Linked DNA regions of Arabidopsis thaliana. The protein of the gene in region 1 interacts with the protein of each later gene in a pairwise test. Each region holds a gene or a part of one and is shown on either strand. Other genes may lie near its edges.

Evidence for each region.
Region 2: the proteins of WUS (region 1) and AT3G21330 interact in a two-hybrid assay, tested with the Arabidopsis thaliana proteins (one large-scale study listed by BioGRID).
Region 3: the proteins of WUS (region 1) and KAN3 interact in a two-hybrid assay, tested with the Arabidopsis thaliana proteins (one large-scale study listed by BioGRID).

What each region holds. Positions count from the first base shown.
Region 1 is NC_003071.7:7,808,325-7,812,469, forward strand, and holds WUS (Homeodomain-like superfamily protein), read right to left. Parts: upstream 2,488-4,145; 5' UTR 2,348-2,487; coding exon 1,852-2,347; intron 1,250-1,851; coding exon 1,161-1,249; intron 1,070-1,160; coding exon 776-1,069; 3' UTR 547-775; downstream 1-546. Other genes in the region: AT2G17960 (uncharacterized protein), read right to left, coding at 4,056-4,130. UniProt on the Arabidopsis thaliana protein: Transcription factor that plays a central role during early embryogenesis, oogenesis and flowering, probably by regulating expression of specific genes. Required to specify stem cell identity in meristems, such as shoot apical meristem (SAM).
Region 2 is NC_003074.8:7,505,545-7,509,746, reverse strand, and holds AT3G21330 (basic helix-loop-helix (bHLH) DNA-binding superfamily protein), read right to left. Parts: upstream 2,508-4,202; 5' UTR 2,177-2,507; intron 2,044-2,176; 5' UTR 2,028-2,043; coding exon 906-2,027; 3' UTR 561-905; downstream 1-560.
Region 3 is NC_003075.7:9,847,373-9,852,576, forward strand, and holds KAN3 (Homeodomain-like superfamily protein), read right to left. Parts: upstream 3,556-5,204; 5' UTR 3,327-3,555; coding exon 2,762-3,326; intron 2,624-2,761; coding exon 2,547-2,623; intron 1,767-2,546; coding exon 1,721-1,766; intron 1,643-1,720; coding exon 1,558-1,642; intron 1,347-1,557; coding exon 1,286-1,346; intron 897-1,285; coding exon 762-896; 3' UTR 561-761; downstream 1-560. UniProt on the Arabidopsis thaliana protein: Probable transcription factor that regulates lateral organ polarity. Plays a role in lateral root formation and development.

The DNA of each region.
Region 1 (4,145 bases):
AATTGTTAAGTTAAAATTATCACTTATTTTGTATCTAAATCATTCCTTTTATTTAATTGGCTAACGATTAATATTAATTTATAATGAATATATGTTGAAATTGGCTAACGGTTACATAACTCAGATTTATTATTTGAAAATTGTGTGAGTTCGGATTGATAAATGCATGTAATCAAAATTTAGGTAGGAAAAAACCGCATAGAAATAATTGAGATTGATTTTGACCGTTCGTATTGATGTAATCAAAATTCCATGATTATCGATAGATCAAGCTGATTGCATAACATGAAGAAGAAGAAAACTTCCACTGAAAAGCAACTTGCTTGTTTTAGTTTTGAACTACCAAAAAACATTCAACTGTTCACAAGTTCTGTTGTAAAACAACTATTGTTGATTTCGGTTCAAGATCACGTTGTAATCGATAATTAAGATCATAACATTGTAATCAAATATAGTACATCTCTAGCATTTCTTTCATGCCTCCGGATCTGTGAGGAATTCCTTTTTAAAAATTTACTGAAATAGTCATTTCTTCATAGTAGTAATTAAAATTTTAACTTATTCATCATAGAGATAAAACGGTTGTCAATTACAATTAAAACCTAGACGATACTTAGCTAGTAATTACAAATTACACATAACGAGAGATAACTAGTTAACTACTAATATAACAACTGCATCATTAATCACTAGCGAAGCATAGTTGTGAACATACGAGTACGAAAGAGAGAGAGAGAGGAAAGAGCTTTAATCCCGAGCGACACCGGCGTAAGAGCTAGTTCAGACGTAGCTCAAGAGAAGCGCAAGGGCGAACTTCCGATTGGCCATACTTCCAGATGGCACCACTACCACCGTTGATGTGATCTTCACCGTGCATAGGGAAGAGAGGAAGCGTACGTCGATGTTCCAGATAAGCATCGCCACCACATTCTTCTTCTTCTTGATGACCTTCTAGACCAAACAGAGGCTTTGCTCTATCGAAGAAGTTGTAAGGTGCAGATGAGTAATGATGATCCATGTTTGCCCATCCTCCACCTACGTTGTTGTAATTCATAGAACAGTCTTGTTCCTTCACCCAAAAATTTCAGTTTCATTAAATTTCTATTCATATATGTAGTATAAATATTATTTGAATTAATGAATTATAGTTTGGTACGTACCATAGATCCATAGACATGGCTACTCATGTAGCCATTAGAAGCATTAACAACACCACATTCAGTACCTGAGCTTGCATGATTTAAATTCCCTTCAAACATATTAATATACGTATCATCAGTGATCATATATGTTGTGATTCCAGAATCCAGACCATACTATATACAGGGGAAAAGAATGAAGAAAGAGACATAAAATTAGTGATTTTTTTTCTACTAACCCAAATCCCTAATTGTGTTACAAGTCACAAATGAAAATAAAATGCACGTGAGTCTAGTTTCCATTACACAACAAAGAAACCGTTCTTTAGATGCAAATTTGGTTTGCCCCAATCAAGATCCATAACTTCAAATATACGTCATTACATGTACATAACATCTTCTTGGGTTTAATTATTTTTACTAATTCATGTAATAATAGATGGTGTGTAACATGTTCCTATAATATATATTTTAGATTTTTAAATCAAAACCATCTGAATAAATTCATAAATCAACAGCATTTTTTAAAATCTTTTTAACAATTAACATATACATATATCTATCAAAGTCATATATGTAGATCTTGTTAGTTTTTTTTTTTTTGTGTGTGCTAATTCATGTAATAGCTAGTGGTGTAAATGGTTCTCTTAGTAATTATAAAAAACCACCTGAATAAATTCATAAAAAAGCATGTATAAGAGAGATTAGTCACCGTTATTGAAGCTGGGATATGGCTTGTTATGATGATAGAGATGATGGTCTTGGTTAAGTTTAACGTTGACGGAATTAGCAGGTCTCTGCATGGGAACACCGTGATGATGGTGAAGTAGAGGATGATAATGATCGTTAGCCGCCATCATAACCGAGTTGGGTGATGAAGATGGTGTGGTCATGTTTGTTCCGTTGAATCTCTTCTTCTGACGCTCACGAGCCTTATGGTTCTGGAACCAGTAAAAGACGTTCTTGCCCTCAATCTTTCCGAACTGTCTCAGCCTTGCAGTGATCTTCTGGATCTGATCGGCTGTTGGTGACCGGATTGCATTGTTGTAGTAAAGTTCTTTGAGGATTTTGATTTGCTCCGTCGTCGGTGTCCACCTCGTGCTGGTCTGGCGACACGTGTAACCACCAGAGCCGGACTTGTTGTTGTTGTTGTTGCCGCTTTCTTGGTCGGCTTGATGATGATGATGCTGATGCTGTGGCGGCTCCATGTGTGTTTGATTCGACTTTTGTTCACAAAGTTAACGGTAAATAAGATCAAGACTTAGAGAGGAACAAGAGAAAGAGAAGTTTGAAGTTAGCAAGAAAACAACTTGCTGGTAGTAAAGAGATTTTAGGTTTTGTGTGAGAGAGAAGATTATATATATATAGAGAGATAGTAAGGTATTGAGTTATATATATAAATGGGGACCCAAAAAGAAGGTTTTACAATATTCTAGAAAATCAGTTATTCACTATATTATTCTTTTATGCATGTAGATATGATTTCATACATACAAAACCCTATTGAAAAATGTGCTTGGATATAAGAAATAAATTTTGCCAAAGAAAAGGATATAAGAAAGAAAAATAATCAATTGAATTAACATTCAAATAAAATGTTATGTTTAGGAAGGAAATTCTCTTGTCAAATATATTATTTGATTTTTTTTTATTCAGAGGAAAAATCGAAACTACTCTTGAGAGTTTTAGTGAGAATAATAATAATTTTTATGAAAAAATTTGTGGGGGATCGAATCAGAGGATATCTGGTGGAGAAGGATTGAAAGGGACAGAGAAGTTAGAAATAAACATGAAAATGGAAAGGGACAAAGGAGGGAATTAGAAAGGTGAGGGCATCATCGGTATTTACTTAGACGAAAAACAAACTCTCTTTTTTCAATTTCTCTGTCTCTTCACAATTATTACTTCACCAGCTTTAATTGTTATGTATCTGTCTACGTATGAAAGATATTTACCCATACACACAGAAAACAAAACAAAAATTCTAAAAGATCGTTATGAATTATTGTATCGTAGGAATGAAAGAAAACGATTATAATTTTTTTCTAGAATGAATAATAAAAAAAGTGAAAACCGTTTGATCATAAAAATACATTTTTCCTTCCTTATGGTCATGAGTCATGACACATAGGTGATATAGGATATTTTTCGTGGTGATATCGTCCGGAAATGTGTTGAAGAAATACTCTATATAATTTTACTTATGCTTTGCTTTAAAAGATATTAAAATTTATGTCAATTACAATGTGTGAAACGAGTGTGAAGACAGGTGTACTTATGAACATGTTGAGTATTCTTTAGTTAATTATATGCTCGAATTTATAGGAGCATGGATGGATCTTTTTGTATAAATGCGTGATTTATTCATTTTTTTTAAAAAGTTTGAAGGGCTTTGTTTTAGTGAATATGACTTTTGTAATTGAAAAGGAACAATACCCAACTTTTGTATAGTCTTATTGTTCTACGTAACAGCCACATATTGTATATAAAAGATATATAAAGATTTTTTTAGGAATCTACAAATTTCATAGAAGCTATTATAGTTTTTATGGGGAATGGCCCTGAAGATACGGCTGATAAAATATTTATTTTTTTTAAAATAAAAAACCAAAGATCCGATCACTGAAGTTGCTTGGCTATTTCATAGTATAGTTTTGTTTATATAGCCCCCATGATTTCTCGGATTCAACACAACGTGCAAAGAGTATCGGAAAATTAAAAATAGGTTTTACAAACTAACTATTGTAACTATTAATATTTGGAAAACAATCTAAGGATTGAAGTCTTAAAAAATTTTTTTTGTTAAAAGGTTAAGTCTTATAATCTTTTATCACCTAAATAAACTCAGTTGTATCCCAAATTTTTGTTGGTAAAGAAAGTATTTAGTTAGACTGGTGGATTACTCATTTTTTAACTTTAGTCGATTATATTGGATAAACTTTTGGATTCCATCCAATCGATATATCCGATTTGTAATGTCGTTTGGCATTTCTATCGAATCAACGG
Region 2 (4,202 bases), on another chromosome or scaffold:
AGTGTTATTGCGAATAAATAAAAAGTTGATAGTCAATGTACCCAAGTCAAAAAAACACATCCATCAAAAGAACTTCATAAAATACTATTAAACGAAAGAGAATGTGATTAAGGAGATTTAGGGACGAAATAAGACAAAAACCAAAAGACAAAAAAGAAGAATAAAAAGATGGAGAGTGAGATAGAGAAGCATGTGGTGAGCATTTTAGGGTGTACGAGTCAGGTGAAGTTATATTCTCAAGGTGCACGCCTTCAACATTCTTAACTCTTACTAAACTCCATCCAAACTATGTTTTGTATTTGAGCCAGACAAAAAAACACTTATGTGAAAATAAAATTATAAGACAATAATAAGTTCTTCCACTAAAATCGTTTTTTTATATGGATAAGTAACACAAATTAAATAACCTTGCATTATAGATATACGAAATTTATACATATTTTACAGAGACAGACAGAGTTTATTGAGTACCAAAAAAAGAGGATGAATATTAATTTTATATTTTAGTACTCCAAAAGAGTTCTTCAAGTAAAGCTAAACTTTTTTAAGTAGAGAGAGATGGAGGCACTTTCTAAACACTTTTGTTGATAATCATCGCTTCATAATTGCAATTATCTTACGCTATCTTTACTCTAATAAAGTAATAAAAGGTTGAAAATATTGCAGAGACTGTAATTAACCTCTTGCGGCTCTGTTTTTCACAATATTTCAACCCTCGAATTCCACAGATTCTATATAAAATACAAACTTTATATAAAAAGAAATGCAAAACAAAGACTGGAAAGTGTAAACAACACTGCCCGACACCACCCTTGTCACAGAAGTTGCCTTTCTTGAGAACTGCTAAAACAATCAAGACGCCATGATTCTGTTGATGATGATGAAACTCAAAAGTTTATAATCTGTCAACACTCTGGATGATGGATTTGATTAGGATTTTGCAATGGAAGAAAAGATGGGTGGAATAATGGAAACGATGTAGGAGCAGAAGAGAAAGAGAGATTGGTTTGGTCAAGCTTGGGTCTCAAGTTTTCTAAAGCTTTTACTTGTGCTCTAAGGAACTTGAGATAATTAGCAGCTTCATCAAGCATTGATGCAGTATCCATCTTCGTCCCACCTGGAACCAATGTTTGTAAAACCCTAATCTTCTCACTTATCCTCTCCCTTCTCTGTCTCGCTGCAACCGTTTGAGGATCCGTCGATATCTTGACGTTCTTCCTCTTAGGCTTCTCCACAATCTCTAACCCGAAATTCACCGGTCTAAATGCAGCCGCTCTGTATATCATCTCCTTCATTTGTGCAATCGCCTCAGCATCGGGCTCGACATTGTCAGACAAACAAGTTGAATGTTGGAAACTAATGTTCGAAGAACCGCCTCGTTCTTTCTCTGTTCTTGGTTTCTTTGATTTCGATTGATTCTCATCGTATATAAGCTTGAAACCTCCTTTCTCCGAATCATCTTGAGGATGAACAAGACTAAAGTGACTTCCTGTCTCGTCTCCTCTGTTTCTCTTCAAAGACTTAGGTTTTGTTGTTGTTGTTGTAGTCTCAGTAGTTCCTCCATCTCCTCCTCTGTTTCTCTTCAAAGGCTTAGGCTTTATCGTTGTTGTCGTCTCAGTAGTGATCTCTCTGTTCTCAGACTCTGCAGATGAGACTCCACCAAAGCTCCAAAGAGTCTGACAATCTGAGAAAAGCACAGATATTCCTTCATCGTCCTCCGTCGAGGTGTTGTTGCTATTCGACGTCGCAGATAACAAACAATCGAGTGATGATGGATCTATCGAGCTAGCTCTGTTGCCAACATGTTGCTGCTGTTGAATCTCACCTAAGACTCCAAGATCAGACATGAAACAGCTGCTAAGATTCGGATTAATGAGTTGGTGGTGATAAGAAGAAGAAGAACAGAGTTCTCGAGCCATTAGCTCATTTCCTCCCCAAATCAAATCTGATCCTTGATGCTCCATGATTTTGCTCTCTCGTGTCATTCCATACATAGCTTGAGCGTACACAGATTCCAATCCTTCCATCGGATCAAACACAATCCTAAAAACACCCAAAACAAAGACAAATGTGAGAGGCATACTTAGAAACAGAGCATATTTGTAAACAGACATGAAACCTAAATATTTCTTGTTACATGCAGGGAAAAATGATAAAAGCTGATCTTTAAACCAACCTCGTTGTAATAACGGCAGGACATGAAAAAGTGAAACCGGAAGAAGAGAACAAACAGATGAGTTCACAGGAAACTCTGAGAAACGTTTCTTCTGTCTTAAAGAGATGACACCCAAAAAGGGAAAGAAAGAGAAAACAGAGGAAAGAAACAGAAAGAAGAAATGCTCAAAAAGGAAAGAAAGTAAAACAGTCTGTAAATGAGGTTTATTTCTGTGCTGTAGACTTAGAAAGCTCTGTTTCTGTTCTGTTCTATAATGAGCTCTCTGCTAGAGTTATAGATAGTTTCTGTAAGAAAAGACTTGAAAGCCCTATACACCCCTCCTACTATTCATACTCAGATTTGTTATTATGCACATATTTATATATAGAATAAATATTAAATATATTTGTATATTTATTATATATATATAATAGTATTATTTTTAAAAAGGTCCCAACTTTCGATGAGATCAATTGTTCCTCTGTATCAAGCACTAGTTCTGTACTTCTGTAAATTGGTATGGATGGTTAACTTTAAGAATTAGGATTAGTGTAACTTTAAGAATTAAATCCCTATTTTGATATACTTTAAAACATATATATGAGCGCCGTCAAAGGAAAAAAACTTTTAACTAGTATACCGGTAAACTAATTAACTACTCAAACGATTAATTTTTATATTTTACTTTTGAGTTAGGTAATTTTTTTACCAAATTTTATGATGATCAAATCATTAATGGATGCGATTTAGATGATTTAACTATTATTTCCAGTGACATGCATATGCAAACTCGAATATGGAACGTTATCGACACGTTAAATTGAAGACGCCGGCGGCGACAACTTTACTTTCGTAGAAGATGAAACTATTGAAGTTGATCTCGATTAATTTTGCGATATATCTGATATCTCTAAGTGAGATTTTGTTGGATAATAGATACACGACTATCAAAATTGAATTTAAAAGTTGTCACCGAAACTAAACGTTAGAGTTTACAACACTCCCGAATCTAAACTTAAAACATCTCCTAAACCGGATTATTTAATAATTTCTTAATCCAAAATTATTTAATTTTTCATGGTCAAAAATAATGTCACACGCGCAAAGAGAAAAGTGAGATCACTGATTCATTAACCTAAAGCTAACCGAATGATTTGTATTAAAATATAGAAAATAATCTAGACGATTGAATTATATATTTATTTAAATGAGGTTGGTGTGCATAATAGTTTCTGCAATCGAAGAGCATCTTTTTTTGAAACCCTAGAAAATAGATATAATACTTGATAAAAATCATAGACTATATGATTATGCACTTGATGAATACTGAAAAGGGATATGTAATTAAAAATCTACGAGTGCTTGAGCAGAGAAAAAGGACTGACAATCCTTTTAGCGTCGTGCGAACTGAAAACTTTAAGGGAGAGATCGAAAGAAAGTTTTAGGTTTTGGATCTTTTATTTTTTGGTGAATAACAGATTAATGTTGATTGTATATTTTATTTTAAAAATGATCAAGCTGTAAAAGTAATTCATGATTCTATTATCTATACCATTTTCTTATTCTTTTCTATGTGTTTGTTTAATTTACCTTTTCGCTATCATCATCAGTCAATAATGATCAATATCCTCATCTCGATCTATCTAGCAACACTTTCTTGTATAGTTTATCTTCATTTCTTTTGGCTAGAACGTGTTATATAAAAATACCAAACACTCTTTTTGTGGATTTATTTGATTATATATAATCATGATATCATATATAATCGATGTGGAACACTTTTTGGAGTAGTTTTCGAAAACTTTGTAATTTCCATATACCAGTAGAGAAGTACATTATTAGTCGCTTCTTATTTCCCAAGTCGTTCCTCCTTAGGCTTGAAATAACCAACATTCGAGAACCTAAACCAATAACGCCAATATAGTTTTATTGTATATTTGTATGAACTTATATCTTTACTATGTAAGAACAATTTGTAGTAGTATTTATAATTTGAGATACTAATTGTAAATTTTGAACATTCTTTTACAATATTGATAACTTTCTA
Region 3 (5,204 bases), on another chromosome or scaffold:
TCCAAATTGATTATTAAAACGGCTCAACTTGTGATAAGGCCTTTTCGCCGGTAAGTATTTTTCTTCATTTGCCACCATAAGATTATGATATTTGCGTTGTAGCTAGAAATAGCCTCCGATATTTTTACTGTTCAAATATACTTTTTTGCTATATTCATCTAAAGTATTTTTGATTTGACCAATCTAAAATTTTAGTAAAATATACTATATTTAAGTAAGATTATGTAATTACTACGTATTTTCATTATCATCATCGTATGCTTCATGTGTCTAAAGCTCTTGTTAAGGTTACCAATAAAAAGAATCTTCGTATGGTTGGTTAGTTTTCTTAACATTTGGAATTATGGATAGATTGTAATGTATTTCGTTTTATTCTCTTTTTTGGCTTTACTCAAAATGAATAATTAGAAGAAAAAATTAGTGAAAGTCTTCGTCGGGTCAACGTCACAAGTGTCAGACACGTGTCAGAGAACCATGTGTTAAGAAGTAAAGCAGTCCGATTTAGACACGTGGATGAGTCATAGCTTTGCATCGCTGTAATGATGACCAAATAATTTTATTCCCATTCAAGACAAGAACAAGCATCTCAAATTTATGACCCAAAAAAAAAAGCATCTCAATTTTACAGTACAAAAGGAAAAATGAATAAAGGAAGAAATAAACGTCATTTCATATATATTTTTTCAAAAGCATAAACTTTTAAGTTTGAGATTTATATAATTTTTAACAGATAATATGTATTTTTAGTATATATAAGAAAATTAGGGAGAGAGGTTTGGTGTAGCTAAAGTGAAATCAAGATTGGGAGTTTCAGTCTCTGGTCTTGTCCCTGTAAGGCTTGACGAATCTGACGACAACCGTTCGTTGCTTGGACATCTTCGATTCTTCCATTCATTCTGACATCATTTTAGAATAAAAGATTATATATTATAAGAATCATCTCATATAACATTTCATATATAGACTGTGTCTTTATTTTCAGTTTGCTTTCTATTTCAAAATTTCCAATTAAACTATTTTGAAGATTTAAAGACAATCAAATCTAGTGAATTGGGTTCTGAAAATAAAGTATCATAGATATCAACTCTCCAAAACAAAGTCTTTAATTTCTCTGCTTTTGAGACAAAATCAAAAGAAGAAAAACACTTTTTTACCCAAATGGAAGAGAAAAAAAGTAACTTATAATCCTTTATAAAAACTTTTTTTTTCTTTTTTTTCAGCCTCGAATTTTGCAAGTCCCGTTTTATTCCAATGCCCTTTTGGTTAAATTTTTGAAATCTGTTACCTCATTGGATGAAATGTCTACACCTGATGATGCCTTTGCCTTCAACTGGAACCGAGCTTCACTGTTTATACAGATTCAAATTATATCACATTGATTTTTTGAAGGAACAAAAAAGAATAATATAATGCTAATGATTTTGGCTCAACTAACATAATATTATATATATTAAGTTTCTCATATGATGCAAATATAGAAAGTTGCCTAATAAGTATATACATATCTGTCCAACAAATACTAAATTCTACTTAGGCAAATATTAAAACATAACATACCTTGAGGAGTTATTCCATAGACCCGTGAGATTTCTTGCTTCTCTCTCACTGTTTACTTGTGATCCATTCTCACAATCTGACTGCCCTATACACACACGTTTATCAGATGTATAGTATTTAACAGATAATTTAATTAAATCAAATACATAATCAATCAAATAACCTGATGACGTTGTAGGTTTTTCAGTAGACTTGATGGTTCGATACATCTGAAACATTATAGATTAGATTACTAATATTATATATAAGTGCTAGTTATAAGAATAATTAATAGTTATATCGATCAATACATACACATGAATTATATATAATGTGTGTGTGATGTTCGTGTGTTTAGACTTGTTCCATTCAGGCATTCACGTGTGTGTATATAAGGCTATAACCTAGATATGCACGCACACAGAGACAGAGATGGATAAAGTAAGAAAAAAAGAGATCAAAGTAAAACAGAAAGCATTTACGATTCATGAAAATGTGCAGCCATACACAGAGATGGGAGATGTGCATGGGTCTACGTGCCTTATTCTGACTATAGTCAAATTATGCAAAACAGCAACTTATATATTTGTTATCATTGAAGAATCATGCATATACATATATGTGTGCATATCAATCTAAATATCATCATTGAAGAATGATGTCTCCTTTGTACTTTTACTTTTCTACTGCATCTCTAGTAATAAAAGGACTCTTTCTCTTACTCTTTGTCTATATCTTGCTTTTGATTCCTTCTCTTTTTATCTTTTTTCTTTCTTCACTTTGTATATAATTTCTTTATATATATATATATATATATATATATATATATATATATATATATATATGGGGGCGACCAAAAGTTTAACCATGTCCAAATTAATCACAATTTTTCTTTTAGCCATTTCATAAAAAAGTGCAGTGGGTTTGGTTCATTTGCATATTCAAATCCATAATACAATAAATTCATTTATTTACCTATACATTATGTACCTGTAACTTAAGAAGATTACCTGTAGATGGGATTTAACATGAGCCAATGTGAGATCTTGCACATCCATCAGCTCAAGTACTGATTTTGGGGTTGCTCCTGGATATTAATCATAATTACTAAGTCAATAAAAATAGAATTTTTGATCAAGCCTATTCATTATTCTTTTTGTTAAAAATGAAAAAGAGATATAAATTCAATTAAATAAAAAGGGGTAATAGTGAAAAAGGACAATACTTTCATGACCACCCAATAATTGAACAGCGTGTACAAAATGGGCGTGGAGGGTCGTCGTCCACCGCATCCTTGGAGCCCTTACTCCTCTTTTGGCGGTGAATCTTGGCGGCTGCGGTTGAGCTTGACGCCGATGACGGTTGTGGAGATTAAAACTACAATTAGGGTTTGTGATTAAGCGACGACTAGCATGTTGACCGTTGACTTCACTGAAGAAGAAAGGATTGGGAGAGGTAGATGAGTAGTAGTAGTGGTCAAGGACTTGATTCTGGTAAAGAGGGATTCCTCTTATTGGTCTCATCATAAAAATAGATCTCAAGTCTTGATCGAGAGATTCCTTGTGTTCTTGATTACTATTAATCTTGGTGGCTTCATTGTTTGAAGTGAACTGGAGAGTGTGGATGAGATTATTTGAAGACTTGTTGTCTAAATCTGAGGCTTTACTCTGAAACCCTAATCTCCTTTCGACTTCTTGTTCTTGTAGTTCTTGACTTTCTTTTTCTTGTTCTTCTTCTCTTCTTCGGCTGATCTTCAAGTACAAGTCAGGTTGTGAAGGGAAAAGCTCCATAAGAAGAGAGAATTGGTGAATGATTTTGAGATAATCTTGATGAATTTTATGGGAAAAAGGAGGGGTATAATGTTATTTATTTCAAAAAGTTTTTTTTTTCTTCTTCTTAACTTAATGAATTTTTGTTCTTGGTGAGAAGAGAAAAGCAGTTGTAAAGAATTAGAGAGAGAAAAATAGGGATGGCAAAAGGTATGAGGGAAATGAGAAGTCTCTTTCTTCTCTGTTCCCTTTGAGAAAATGACACTTTAAGAGTCTAATAAAGGGGTTGGGTGAAACATGAATTTCCATTTAATTTTTCCTTTCCCTTTTCTTCATATGTAAAGGAAAATACCAATTTATATGGCATATTTTGTTACAATGTAGATATCATCTATCACATATCAGTATTTAATGATGGTATAATAAAACAATAATGTATGGAATTATTCGATTATTTGTGTTCAGATTTACATGTGAAAATGACACTTGTGTTGAAACTGAAAGATGCGTGTGTGTATATGTTTTTTTTTCCTGATAATATCATTGTAGAAAATTTAAAATAAGAATCAAAGGCTGATATTTTCTTAGAAAACAAAAAAGGAACAACCATAGCTACTTGTTTAGTTGTTGATAAAATGCTACTATATATAAAAAATACACCTGCATGAAATTTAAGAGATGAAGATACATTAAAACCAAAACTGAAGTCTCGTCGTCACTTGTTGTTTGTCTTGTTTATTGGTTTAATTCTTTGTCCTCCTTGAAATCGGAGTTTGGAATTATACCGAACATTACGAACTTGGTGGCTGGGTGCCTAAGAATAAATTGAATATGATATTGCGTCTAATTAATACCTGAAAAAGCTTTTCTTTTTCCTTCTATATATTGTTTGTGGAGAAAGTGATTTTGTTTACGTGATAAGATAAAATTTAAGGAAAATAAGAAATGGGAAAAGAATAATATCACATTGACAGTGAGATATCACCTTAAAATATATATTGTATATAGTTTCGATTATGTTTATTAGTAATTTTCAAAACAAGTTAACATTAAAGGTTTTTTATTCCACGAAGCATTAACTTCATTTCCATCAAAATACTATACGACATTAATTTAATTTTGGCCCTAGTGACACCGATAGACAGTCCAAGATTTGATTCCCAAAACGCCCTTTGATAATTCATGTCCCCTAAGCCCATACATCGACAGATAATGTTGGGGACGATCCTTAGATTCATTTGTTTTTTTTTATATTTTTCACATATTTGATTAAACTAAGAAAATCTGAATCCAAAAATAGGTTTCCGTAAAAGTCGAACCTTTTTCCAGTTTTAGTTCCGGCAGCACGAGGAACGATATAAGACAAACGGAAAGGAATTTTTATGGAAAATCGATAGAGAAAATAAGATTAAAGAATATAATTTAATTTACTTGATTGGAGGCACTACCAACCGACGATGCATAAGACAAAGTTAGAAGCTCAAAAACATTACTAGGTTAGGAGATAAAATCTTATTCTTTTTTAACCGAATCATTAAATAAATCGTATTAATCGAATCTTATTTGTTTTTCAGCAATCCGCGATTAACTATCATCACTAGTACTTGAGTTTTGTAGCAATGAATCTTATTTGTTCTTCTCGTCGTCACATACAAACAAGAAACTAATCATGATAAGTTCTGAGGGGTCGGACTTAAGTGACGAATAAATAGGAGAAATATCAAAAACTATTGAAAATTTATAGTGGTCAAATAGAGAACAAAGGTTCCCATCAATTTGAGTAAGTTACTCCGACACGGGGACGTAAGAGTGAAACCTAGTGAAAAGCATGCTGTCCACTTCACTTAGTGTAAAATTGTAAGACCTTTCAGGGCACACAGTTTGTTGTATATTTTAGAT